3 linked regions of the Anolis sagrei genome follow. The protein of the gene in region 1 purifies or fractionates together with the protein of each later gene. This does not show direct contact. Links are inferred from orthologs where the notes say so. Each region holds a gene or a part of one and is shown on either strand. Other genes may lie near its edges. The genes, in order: GDI1, RAB14 and RAB9A.

Region 1 (3,757 bases):
TGGCAGGCTCAAACCCAGCACCTCAATCCATGGGTGATACCAGATGAGAGACTCCCCCCTGGACACACAGAAGACTGGGCGACTTGGAAGGCGCTGAACAGACTGCGCTCTGGCACCACGAGATGCAGAGCCAACCTTCAGAAATGGGGCTACAGAGTGGAATTCACGACATGCGAGTGTGGAGAAGAGCAAACCACAGACCACCTGCTGCAATGCAACCTGAGCCCTGCTACATGCGCAATGGAGGACCTTCTTACTTGGAGCAACACCAGAGGCACCAGAGGCATTCCAAGTGGCCCGATACTGGTCAAAGGACATTTAATCAAACTACTAAACTCACAAATTTTGTATTTTGTCTGTTTGTTTGCTTTGTTCTGTTAGAAATGTAATATAATTTGACTGGTTGCTCTGACACGACAAATAAATAAATAAATAAATGGATACTGTTGGCATTGAATTGTTGCCTGCGTTAGCCGCCCTGAGTCCCCCCTCAGGGGTGAGAAGGACGGGGTAGAAATGGTCTAAATAAATAAATAAAGGAGATTCCATCTGAACACGAGGAAGAACTTCCTGATTGTGAGAGCCGTTCAGCAGTGGAACTCTCTGCCCTGGTTTGTGGTAGAGGCTCCATATTTTGAGGCCTTTAAACATGAGGAAGAACTTCCTGGCTGTGAGAGCTGTTCAGCAGTGGAACTCTCTGCCTCGGTGTGTGGTGGAGGCTCCTTCTTTGGAGGCTTTTAAACAGAGGCTGCATGGCCATCTGCTGAGGGTGCTTTGAATGAGATTTTCCTGCTTCTTGGCAGGGGGTTGGACTGGATGGCCCATGAGGTCTCTTCCAACTCTTTGATTCTATGATTCTATATATATGTATAGAGAGAGAGAGAGATAGAGAGAGAGATAGATACACACAGAGATGTATGCATATACTAGAACCCATCCTTGCAGTGAGGTTTCCATGGTGAAGGCAGGCCTGACAAGCCCCCTCCTCCTCCTGCCCTCAGCTGATGACAGGGAGAAACAGGGGCCGGAACTCGTTTCCCATCCTCTCTCTGCGCTGAGGCTGTGGCCAGAACACGGCGGAGGGGCACACTCCCACCCCTCGCCCTTTTCTCCATCCGCCTCCTTTGGAAAAAGGGGCGCGAGGATCCAGTTCACCCTCCCTTTTCCAAGGCGGAGCGATCTCTGCTTTCTCTCTCGGCTCTGGGACTCGTTTATTTTCCCCGGCGGGGTGATCCGCTCGGCGCGGTGGTGCGGCTCCATCTTGGCTCCGCTCGGGGCGGGGGCTCCGCGGCCGGGACCACCACCGTCACCACTACCACCACCATGGACGAGGCCTACGACGTGATCGTGCTGGGCACCGGCCTGACCGTGAGTCTCACCGGGGAAGGGCCAGGGGCGGCCCGCCTGTGGGGACTCCTTTTCCTCCGCCACCGCCGCATCCCAGCCTCCCTTCCCTTCCATTGCAGGCAGGATGCAGCGTCGCCCTTCCTTGATGCAATGGGGAGGGGGAGACCTTGCATTGCAATGGGATGGATGGGGATGGATGGGGCATCTTTCTATTTTTATTTTTCCAAGCACCCACTTCCATATTTCTCCTGCAATAATAATAATAATAATAATAATCATAATTTATATTGCAATCGGATTATGGAGATGGGGCATCAGTTTTTATTTTTCCAATAATAATAATAATAATAATAATAATAATTTGTATTATTTATATTGCAATGGGATGGTGGGGATGGGACATCTATTTTTTTTATTTTTTTCCAAGCACCCACTTCCATATTCCTCCTGCAATAATAATAATAATAATAATAATAATAATAATAATAATTATTTATATCACAATCGGATTATGGAGATGGGGCATCAGTTTTTATTTTTCCAATAATAATAATAATAATAATAATAATAATAATTTGTATTATTTATATTGCAATGGGATGGTGGGGATGGGGCATCTATTTTTTTTTATTTTTTTCCAAGCACCCACTTCCATATTCCTCCTGCAATAATAATAATAATAATAATAATAATAATTTATATTGCAATGGGATTATGGAGATGGGGTATCTGTTTTTATTTTTCCAATAATAATAATAATAATAATAATAATACTTTGTATTATTTATATTGCAATGGGATGGTGGGGATGGGGCATCTGTTTTTGTTTTTTCCCAAGCATCCACTTCCATATTCCTCCTGCAATAATAATAATAATAATAATAATAATTTATATTGCAATCGGATTATGGAGATGGGGCATCAGTTTTTATTTTTCCAATAATAATAATAATAATAATAATTTGTATTATTTATATTGCAATAGGATGGTGGGGATGGGGGCATCTATTTTTTATTTTTTTCCATGCACCCACTTCCATATTCCTCCTGCAATAATAATCATCATAATAATTTGTATTATTTATATTGCAATGGGATGGTGGGGATGGGGCATCTGTTTTTGTTTTTTTTCCAAGCACCCACTTCCATATTCCTCCTGCAATAATAATAATAATAATACTTCGTATTATTTATTTTGCAATGGGATGGTGGGGATGGGGCATCTGTTTTTTTATTTTTCCAAGCATCCACTTTCTTATTTCTCCTGCAATATATTATTATTATTATTATTACAATAGGATGGTGGATCGTGCATTACAATGGAATGGTGGAGATGGGGCATCTATTTTTATTTTTTTTCAAGCACCAATTTCCTTAATCATCCTGCAATAATAATAATAATAATAATAATAATAATATATTGCAACAGGATGGTGGAAATTGTGCCTTTATTTTTTTTCCCCAAGCACTCATTTTCTTATTTCTTCTGCAATATAAATGATAGTGATTATAATAATAACAACAGCCAGCAGAGTGTCTGCTGTGGACTCATCTTGTTGTGTTTCTAATAATAATAATAATAATAATAATAATAATAATAATTTGTATTATTATTTATATTGCAATGAGATGGTGGAGATGGTGCATTTATTATTATATTTTTTCCAAGCACCCACTTCCTTATTTCTCCTGCAATATTATTATTAATAATAATTTATATTGCAGTGGGATGATAGATCATGCATTCCAATGGGATGGTGGAGATGGTGCATTTATTTATTTATTTATTCCAAGCATCTACTTCCTTATTTCTCCTGCAATATACATTAATAATATTATTATTATTACAATGGAATGGTGGGAATGGTGCCTTATATTTTTTTATTCCTTATTTCTCGTGCAATATAAATAATAATTGTTATTTGGATTATTTGTATTGCAATGGGATGGTGGATCGTGCATTGCATTTTTTATTTTTCCAAGCACCCACTTCCTTATTCCTCCTGCAATATAAATAATAATAATATGATGATAATAATAATAATAATAATAATAATAATAATAATAATAATTGTCCTTCCATGCTGTGTATGTGGATTTCCACCTCATTGGCTCTGTTCTCCTAATGGAAATGGGTTTGGCCCCATTGCAGCTCCTCTGATGCAACCCTCCATCCATCCTCAATGTCTGGGTACCAATTGCAAAGCCTCTTTCTCTCTCCTTCCTTCTTTCCTTCCGTCCGTCCTTCCTTCCCTCCCTCCCTCCCTTCTTTTCCTTCTTTACTTTCATCCTCCCCTTCCTTATTTCCCTTCACTCTCTTCTCTTCCTTCCAACATTTTGGCCAGATCCTTCTTATTTCCAACCCATCCCTTGTCTTTAAGATAACAATCCTTGTGTAGCAGACAGTGTT
Region 2 (3,757 bases), on another chromosome or scaffold:
CAGCCATATAACCCAGAATATCCAGGCAAATAATCCATAATATCTGCTTTGAACTGGGTTATCTGAGTCCACACTGCCAGATAATCCAGTTTAATGCGGATTTTATACAGATGAGTGAAAGGGGCTTCAGGCCCTTCCACACAGCCCTATATCCCATAATATAGGGTTATCTGAGTGTGAGATTTTCTGCCTTGATATTCTGAGATATAGGCTGTGCGGAAGGACCCTCAGATAACCCAGTTCAAAGCAGATATTGTGGGATTTTCTGCCTTGATATACTGGGTTATAAGGCTGTGTGGAAGGGCCCTCAGATAACCCAATTCAAAGCAGATATTCTGGAATATAGGCTGTGTGGAAGAGCCCTCAAATAACCCAGTTTAAAGCAGATATTGTGGGATTTCTGCCTTGATGTTCTGGGATACAGAGCTGTGTGGAAGGACCGGATTTCTGCCTTGATATACTGGGTTATATGGCTGTGTGGATGGTCCTTCACATAACCCAATTCAAAGGAGATATTGTGGATTTTCTGCCTTGATATTCTGGAATATAGGGCTGTGTGGAAGGGTCCTAAGATAACCCAGTTCAAAGCAGATATTGTGGGATATTCCGCCTTGGTATTCTGGGTTATATGGCTGTGTGGAAGGGTCCACAGATAACCCAGTTCAAAGCAGATATTGGGGGATTTCTCTCTTGATATTCTGCGATATAGGGCTGTGTGGAAGGGCCTTCAGATAACCCAGTTCAAAGCAGATATTGTGGGATTTTCTACTTTGATATACTGGGATATTCTGCCTTGACATTCTGGGTTATAAGGTTGTGTGGAAGGTCCATCAGATAACCCAGTTCAAAGCAGATATTGTGGGATATTCTACTTTGATATACTGGGATATTCTGCCTTGACATTCTGGGTTATAAGGTTGTGTGGAAGGTCCATCAGATAACCCAGTTCAAAGCAGATATTGTGGGATATTCTACTTTGATATACTGGGATATTCTGCCTTGACATTCTGGGTTATAAGGTTGTGTGGAAGGGCCTTCAGATAACCCAGTTCAAAGCAGATATTGTGGGATTTTCTACTTTGATATACTGGGATATTCTGCCGACATTCTGGGTTATAAGGTTGTGTGGAAGGGCCATCAGATAGCCCAGTTCAAAGCAGACATTGTGGTATTTCTGCCTTGATATTTTGAGTTATATGGTTGTGTGGAAGGGCCATCAGATAACCCAGTTCAAAGCAGACATTGTGGGATTTTCTGCCTTGATATTCTGGGATATAGGACTGTGTGGAAGGACCCTCAAATAACCCAGTTCAAAGCAGACATTGTGGGATTTTCTGCGATATAGGGCTGTGTGGAAGGGCCATCAGATAACCCAGTTCAAAGCAGATATTCTGGCATATAGGGATGTGTGGGAGGACCCTTAGCTAACCCAATTCAAAGCAGATATCTTGGAATTTCTGCCTTGATGTTCTGGGATATAGGCTGTGTGGATGGGCCCACAAATAACCCAGTTCAAAGAGATATTGTGGGATTTTCCGCCTTGATATTCTGGGATATAGGGCTGTGTGGAAGGACCAGATTTATGCCTTGATATACTGGGTTATATGGCTGTGTGGAAAGTCCTTCACATAACCCAATTCAAAGCAGATATTGTGGATTTTCTGCCTTGATATACTGGGTTATAGGGCTGTGTTGAAGGGCCATCAGATAACCCAATTCAAAGCTGATATTGTGTGATTTTCTGCCTTGATATTCTGGGATATAGGTCTGTGTGGAAGGACCCTCAGATAACCCAGTTCAAAGCAGATATTGTGGAATTTCTGGCTTGATATTCTGGGTATATGGTTGTGTGGATGGGCCATCAGATAACCCAGTTCAAAGCAGATATTGTGGGATTTTCTGCCTTGATATACCTGGTTATATGGCTGTGTGGAAGGGCCCTTGATTACTTGAGTCCACACTGCCATATAACCCAGTTCAATGTGGATGCTACACAGCTGTGTGGAAGGGGGTTTCCAGTCAAGGAACACGAAAGGATCCCTCTCCCGTGTGTCATCGCATGCCTGTGTCCTTAATGGCATAGCCCAGCAGAGGCAGGCGGGGGTGGGAGGCTTCGGCGAGGCCTAGGCCTGGAAGGCCAAACAGCAAGAGGCCTCTGGCGGAATGGGCGGGGCCAAAGGGACCCCCGCCCCGTTGCCAAGCAACGCCACAAGGGCAGCAGCAGCTAGGCCTCAGGCCTCGGCCTCGATTTCTCACCCGGGTCCGAAGGAATGGCGGTGACTGGGCAGCTTGGCTCCGCTTTGCGACGGCGACCGGCCTCTCCCCTTCTCGCTCCTCCCTTTGGGAAACCAGCCAGCCTCCTCTTTCTCCTTCTCTTAACTCTTCTCGCGCTGAGTTTCCCCCTTTCCGGCCGCCACTTCCAGGTTTTTCTCCCCCTCACAGAGACACACACAGACTTTATCCAAGATGGCGGCTGCCCCCCTCACACAGGTTTCCCCGCCCACTTCTGGGAGGGAGGGGCCGGAGCGGCGAGAGAGCGCCCGCCTCCCAAATGGGAAGGGGTCAAGATTTGAAGCGGGCGGAACGCGAGAAACAAGAAAAGTGGGAAAGGAGGCGGGGCTGAAGGGTGATTGGCACCGGAGGGGGGAGGGGCCAAGGAGGGTGTTGTTGTCAAGGGGTGTGGCATGCAGAGGGGTTTCTCTCTTTTTGAGGCTGGAGTGCGCCTGCGCAGAATTCGTGGGACCTCTATGCGGAAGGGCGGGGGGGCAGGCCGGAGAGTGCATTCAAAGCGCATGCGCCTTAGAGGAAGGGGAGAAAAGAAGTGGTCTCGCGGCGAGCAGGGCTCCAAACATCGCGAGATCTTAAAGCGGGCGGGCTTTACAAATGTCTGTCAGCGGAAGCCGACCAATAGGGTTCCAGAATAGAAAAAAGTCTCCACCCACCTTTTTAGTCTTTTGTGTTTTGAGCACATTGGAAGGGGAATTGCAACATAAAATGATATAAAATAATATATTTATGTATTTATATGCATATAACAATATATTAAATTATTAGCATAGTACAATATCAGTATTATATATTTCTATATTGCACTGTACCATTATATTCTAATATTATTAGTAATATTACATGTAATATAAATATATAATCATAATATCACATTATTAGTAGTAGTATTATATTGTAGTACATTATAATATAACTATATTATATTATTATATTATATTATTAGCACAGGAGACCTCTGCCATACAATATATTATATTATTAGCATAGTACAATATCAGTATTATATATTTCTATATTTCAGTATACCATTAAATTGTAATATTATTAGTAATATTACATGTAATATAAATATATAATTATAATATCATATTATTAGTAGCAGCAGCATTATATTGTACTACATTATAATATAAATATATGTATTTATATTATATTACATTATATAATAATATATTATATTGTATTATTAGTACAGGAGACCTCTGCCATACAATATATTATATTATTAGCATAGTACAATATCAGTATTATATATTTCTATATTGCACTGTACCATTATATTCTAATATTATTAGTAATATAGTCCAGTCATCCCTGACTGGACTGCCGCGTCCAGTGGGGTCACCACCCTGCGGCCAAAAAAGAAAAATGAACTTCGGTACGTGGAACGTACGGACTCTGATGGACAACAGTGGCAGTGAACGCCCCGAACGCAGAACTGCCATCATTGCAAGGGAGCTGGGACGCT
Region 3 (3,757 bases), on another chromosome or scaffold:
TCTGTGTCAAGGAAACCACAAATGTTCAGTTACTGTGTTCAAGAATTTCAGTTCAACAAAGTTCAGTGTGGTCCTTTACATGTTGGGAAGCTTCTATTTCAAATACATGGCAAAGCACAATTTCTATACAGATAATAATTACTTTTATGCATTGCTGTACATAAGGGAAGTTTATCTTCTGTGAGGAAAACCTATCTTTTGCTGTTCTGCCTTATAAGAATGCTGAATTCCCAACAAAAAGTCAAATCTATTACAGCTATACAAGTTAGACTTAATATATTATGTCACTTGGCATTTCTTAATGAGGTGCCTTTTGTGTTTGTGCCCGCTTGGTACACAAAGGTAGCTGGAAAAACACAGACTCCAATTTGCTTATCTTCACTAGAATACCAAATAAACCCTGGAAAAGGAGCAAAGCAAAAAGCTCAATTCAGGATTTTCTTTTTCAAGAGAGATTGTTTTTCTACATGACAGAAGCTAGAAAGGAAAGAAGACAAAGGCGATATACATAAGAAATGGAGCTGTCCCCTGACAGTCCAGTGATTTTTAATCAGTTCTGAGAAACTGCCCTGAAGAGAAATTGGTCACATGCCAGCTGAGAAGCATAGAAGAGACGCAATTTCTCCACTGAACAGCCTCTCGGCCTCAGCATCACGGGATCTTTAATCACACCACTTCTGTGAGTCCGGAAGGAAAACAGACAAGGTAGATCGGCAGCTCCAGCCCCTCACTCCTAGAAGGGAAGTTAACTGGCACAGAAGGAAAGCATTCATCTTTGTGTAGAGACCAAAGGCAACAATCACACCGGAAAAAAACTTATTTTCTCCTCCGCCTCTAATACAATCACAGATTCTAAGAGTGGAAAGGGCCATCTAGTCCAATCTCTTGCAATGCTGAAATGTGTAACTAGGACAGCTTGAGTATCCCTTATTCAAAATGCCAAACTTATGTGGGATTTTGGAATACAGTAAAGTCTCAGTTAACCAGAACACTGAAGCAACTAGCAAAAAAAAAAAAAACAACCCAAAGTTTTAAAGCTGTGTTGTCGAAGGCTTTCATAGCCAGAATCACTGAGTTGCTGCGAGTTTTCTGGGCTATATGGCCACATGCCAGTAGCATTCTCTCCTGACATTTTGCCTACATCTATGGCAGGCATCCTCAGAGGTTGCAAGGTGTGCTGAAAACTCAGCAAGAGGGGTTTATATATCTGTGGAAAGTCCCGGGAGGGAGAACGTGTGAGAACTATTGTCTATTTGAGGCAAGTGTTAATGTAGCAATTGCCCACCTTGATTAGCATTGAATGGTCTTGCAGATTCAAGGACTGGTTGTTTACTGCCTGGGGGGAATCCTTTGTTAGGTGTTAGCTGGCCCTGATTCTTTTCTGTCTGGAATTCTCCTGTTTTCTGAGTGTTGTTCTTTAATTACTGTCTTGACTTTTAAAGCAGCATTCATAAAGCTGTTTCTATAATACAGTAAAATTGTGTTTCATTAAGTTTGTGTTTGACCTAATTGGCTTTTAAGTGCCACGTTTCTAAATTAATACCGAGTCAATGCAGAATTGATGGTTACGGCATAGCATTAATTAAGGCTGTTTTTAATAATAGCTCCCTAAGAACCATAAGTTACATTTATCCAGCATCTAGCATTCCCCATGGATGCCAGTTAATTGAGAGTTTACTGTATTTTCTTAAACACAATGAGACATCTTAGAGATGGGACCCAAGTAGGCATTATATTCACTTATGTTTTGTATTCACCTTATACACCAGGCCTGGGCAATCTTGGGCCTTCCAGGTGTTTTGGACTTCAACTCCCACCATTCCTAACAGCCTCAGGCCCCTTCCTTCCCCCCCCCCCCCAGCCGCTTAAGCGGCTGAGGGGGAAAAGGAAGGGGCCTGAGGCTGTTAGGAATAGTGGGAGTTGAAGTCCAAAACACCTGGAAGGCCCAGGATTGCCCAGGCCTGGTATACACACTGTAGGCAAGCAAGAGAAGAGGGCTCTCCTTCTCTTCAGGCCAAACACTCCAGCTGGCCCATTGCGCCGCAGCCTCGGAGGCTTCCCTCGACCCGCTCCTCCCCCGGCCCCACAAGACTTCCCACTCACTTCTGTTTCTTTCCAGTCAAGGCCGAAAGGGAACGCGGGTCAACGAGTGGGACGAGGCGCTCACCTTTCCGGGAGAGGGAGAGGAAGCACCGGCCTGCGAAGGAGGGGGAGAAACAACATGGCGGCGGAGAAGTCTGCGCCATGGGGGCGGGGCTGACCCTCTCACGTGACCACGGGCGCGGGCGGGGCCGCCTCTTCGCCTCGTTTAGGGGAGGATGGGCCGAGGGGCGGGGCTTCCCTTCAGGCTCACTTTGTGGACGGCTCTCTCTCTCTCTTTCACCGGTCTCTGGTAGATCAGGATTTGGCAGCGCCTTTGATACTGAGCCTGCGTCTACGGTAGAATTAATGCATTCACCGGAATCACTGGGTTGCTGTGAGTTTTCCGAACAGTATGGTAGCCTTCTCTCCTGACGTTTCGCCTGCATCTATGGCGGGCGTCCTCAGAGGTTGTGAGGTCTGTGGAAACTAGGCAAGTGGGGTTTATATATCTGTGGAATAATGTCCACGCTTGGAGAAAGAACTCTTCCCTGTTTGAGGCAAGTGTGAATTGCAATCTTCTATCTATCTATCTATCTATCTGAATAAAAATGCAATGTTAGTTTGTGGGATTAACAGAACTCAAAAACCACTAGATGAATTGACACCAAATTTGGACAGCACACACCTAACAATCCAATGATTGTCCTTCACTCAAATTTTTTTGATTTTGACATTTGGGAGTTGTAGTTCCTGGGATTTATAATTCACCTACAATCAAAGAGCATCCTGAACTCCACCAATAATGGAATTGTACCAAAGGTGACACACAGGACTCCCATGACCAACAGAAAAGACTAGAAGGGTTTGGTGGGCATTGAACTTGAGTTTGGGAGTTGTAGTTCACCTACATCCAGAGAGTAGTGTGGACTCAAACAATGATGGATCTGGACCAAACTCTACACGAATACTCAATATGCCCAAATGTGAACACTGGTGGAGTTTGGGGAAAATAGAAACTTGACATTTGGGAGTTGTAGTTGCTGGGATTTGTAGTTCACCTACAATCATAGAGCATTCTGAACCCCACCAACGATGGAATTGGGCCACACCTCCCACACAGAACCCCCATAACCAACAGAGTGGGCCACAGCAACGCGTGGCAGGGAATGGCTAGTCTTATATAAATAAAAATGTAATGTTCGTTTGTGGGATTAACATAACTCAAAAACCACTGGGGGAATTGACACCAAATTTGGACAACACACACCTAACAACCCAATGTTTGCCCTTCACTCAAAAACATTTTGATTTTGTCATTTGGGAGTTGTAGTTCTTGGGATTTATAGTTCACCTACAATCAAAGAGCATTCGGAACTCCACCAATGATGGAATTGAACCAAAGGTGACACACAGGACTCCCATGACCAACAGAAAACACTAAAAGGGTTTGATGGGCATTTACCTTGAGTTTGGGAGTTGTAGTATACCTACATCCAGAGAGCACTCAAACAATGATGGATCTGGACCAAACTTGGCACAAATATACCATATGCCTAACTAGGAACACAGATGGAGTTCAAGGGAAATAGACCTTGACATTTAGGAGTTGTAGTTACTGGGATTTATAGTTCCTCTACAATCAAAGTGTATTCTGAAGCCCTTGAATGATAGAATT

Evidence for each region.
Region 2: the proteins of GDI1 (region 1) and RAB14 purify together in Homo sapiens (affinity purification with mass spectrometry; 3 studies listed by BioGRID and IntAct, counting the BioPlex papers as one, with this or other methods). This does not show direct contact. The link is inferred for Anolis sagrei from reciprocal best matches to the Homo sapiens genes GDI1 and RAB14.
Region 3: the proteins of GDI1 (region 1) and RAB9A purify together in Homo sapiens (affinity purification with mass spectrometry; 3 studies listed by BioGRID and IntAct, counting the BioPlex papers as one, with this or other methods). This does not show direct contact. The link is inferred for Anolis sagrei from reciprocal best matches to the Homo sapiens genes GDI1 and RAB9A.

What each region holds. Positions count from the first base shown.
Region 1 is NC_090022.1:174,395,165-174,398,921, reverse strand, and holds the start of GDI1 (rab GDP dissociation inhibitor alpha), read left to right. Parts: upstream 1-1,140; 5' UTR 1,141-1,323; coding exon 1,324-1,368; intron 1,369-3,757. UniProt on the Homo sapiens protein: Regulates the GDP/GTP exchange reaction of most Rab proteins by inhibiting the dissociation of GDP from them, and the subsequent binding of GTP to them. Promotes the dissociation of GDP-bound Rab proteins from the membrane and inhibits their activation.
Region 2 is NC_090031.1:8,552,775-8,556,531, reverse strand, and holds the start of RAB14 (ras-related protein Rab-14), read right to left. Parts: upstream 2,521-3,757; 5' UTR 2,257-2,520; intron 1-2,256.
Region 3 is NC_090023.1:91,719,305-91,723,061, forward strand, and holds the start of RAB9A (ras-related protein Rab-9A), read right to left. Parts: upstream 2,276-3,757; 5' UTR 2,168-2,275; exon of another isoform or gene 2,104-2,167; intron 1-2,103. UniProt on the Homo sapiens protein: The small GTPases Rab are key regulators of intracellular membrane trafficking, from the formation of transport vesicles to their fusion with membranes.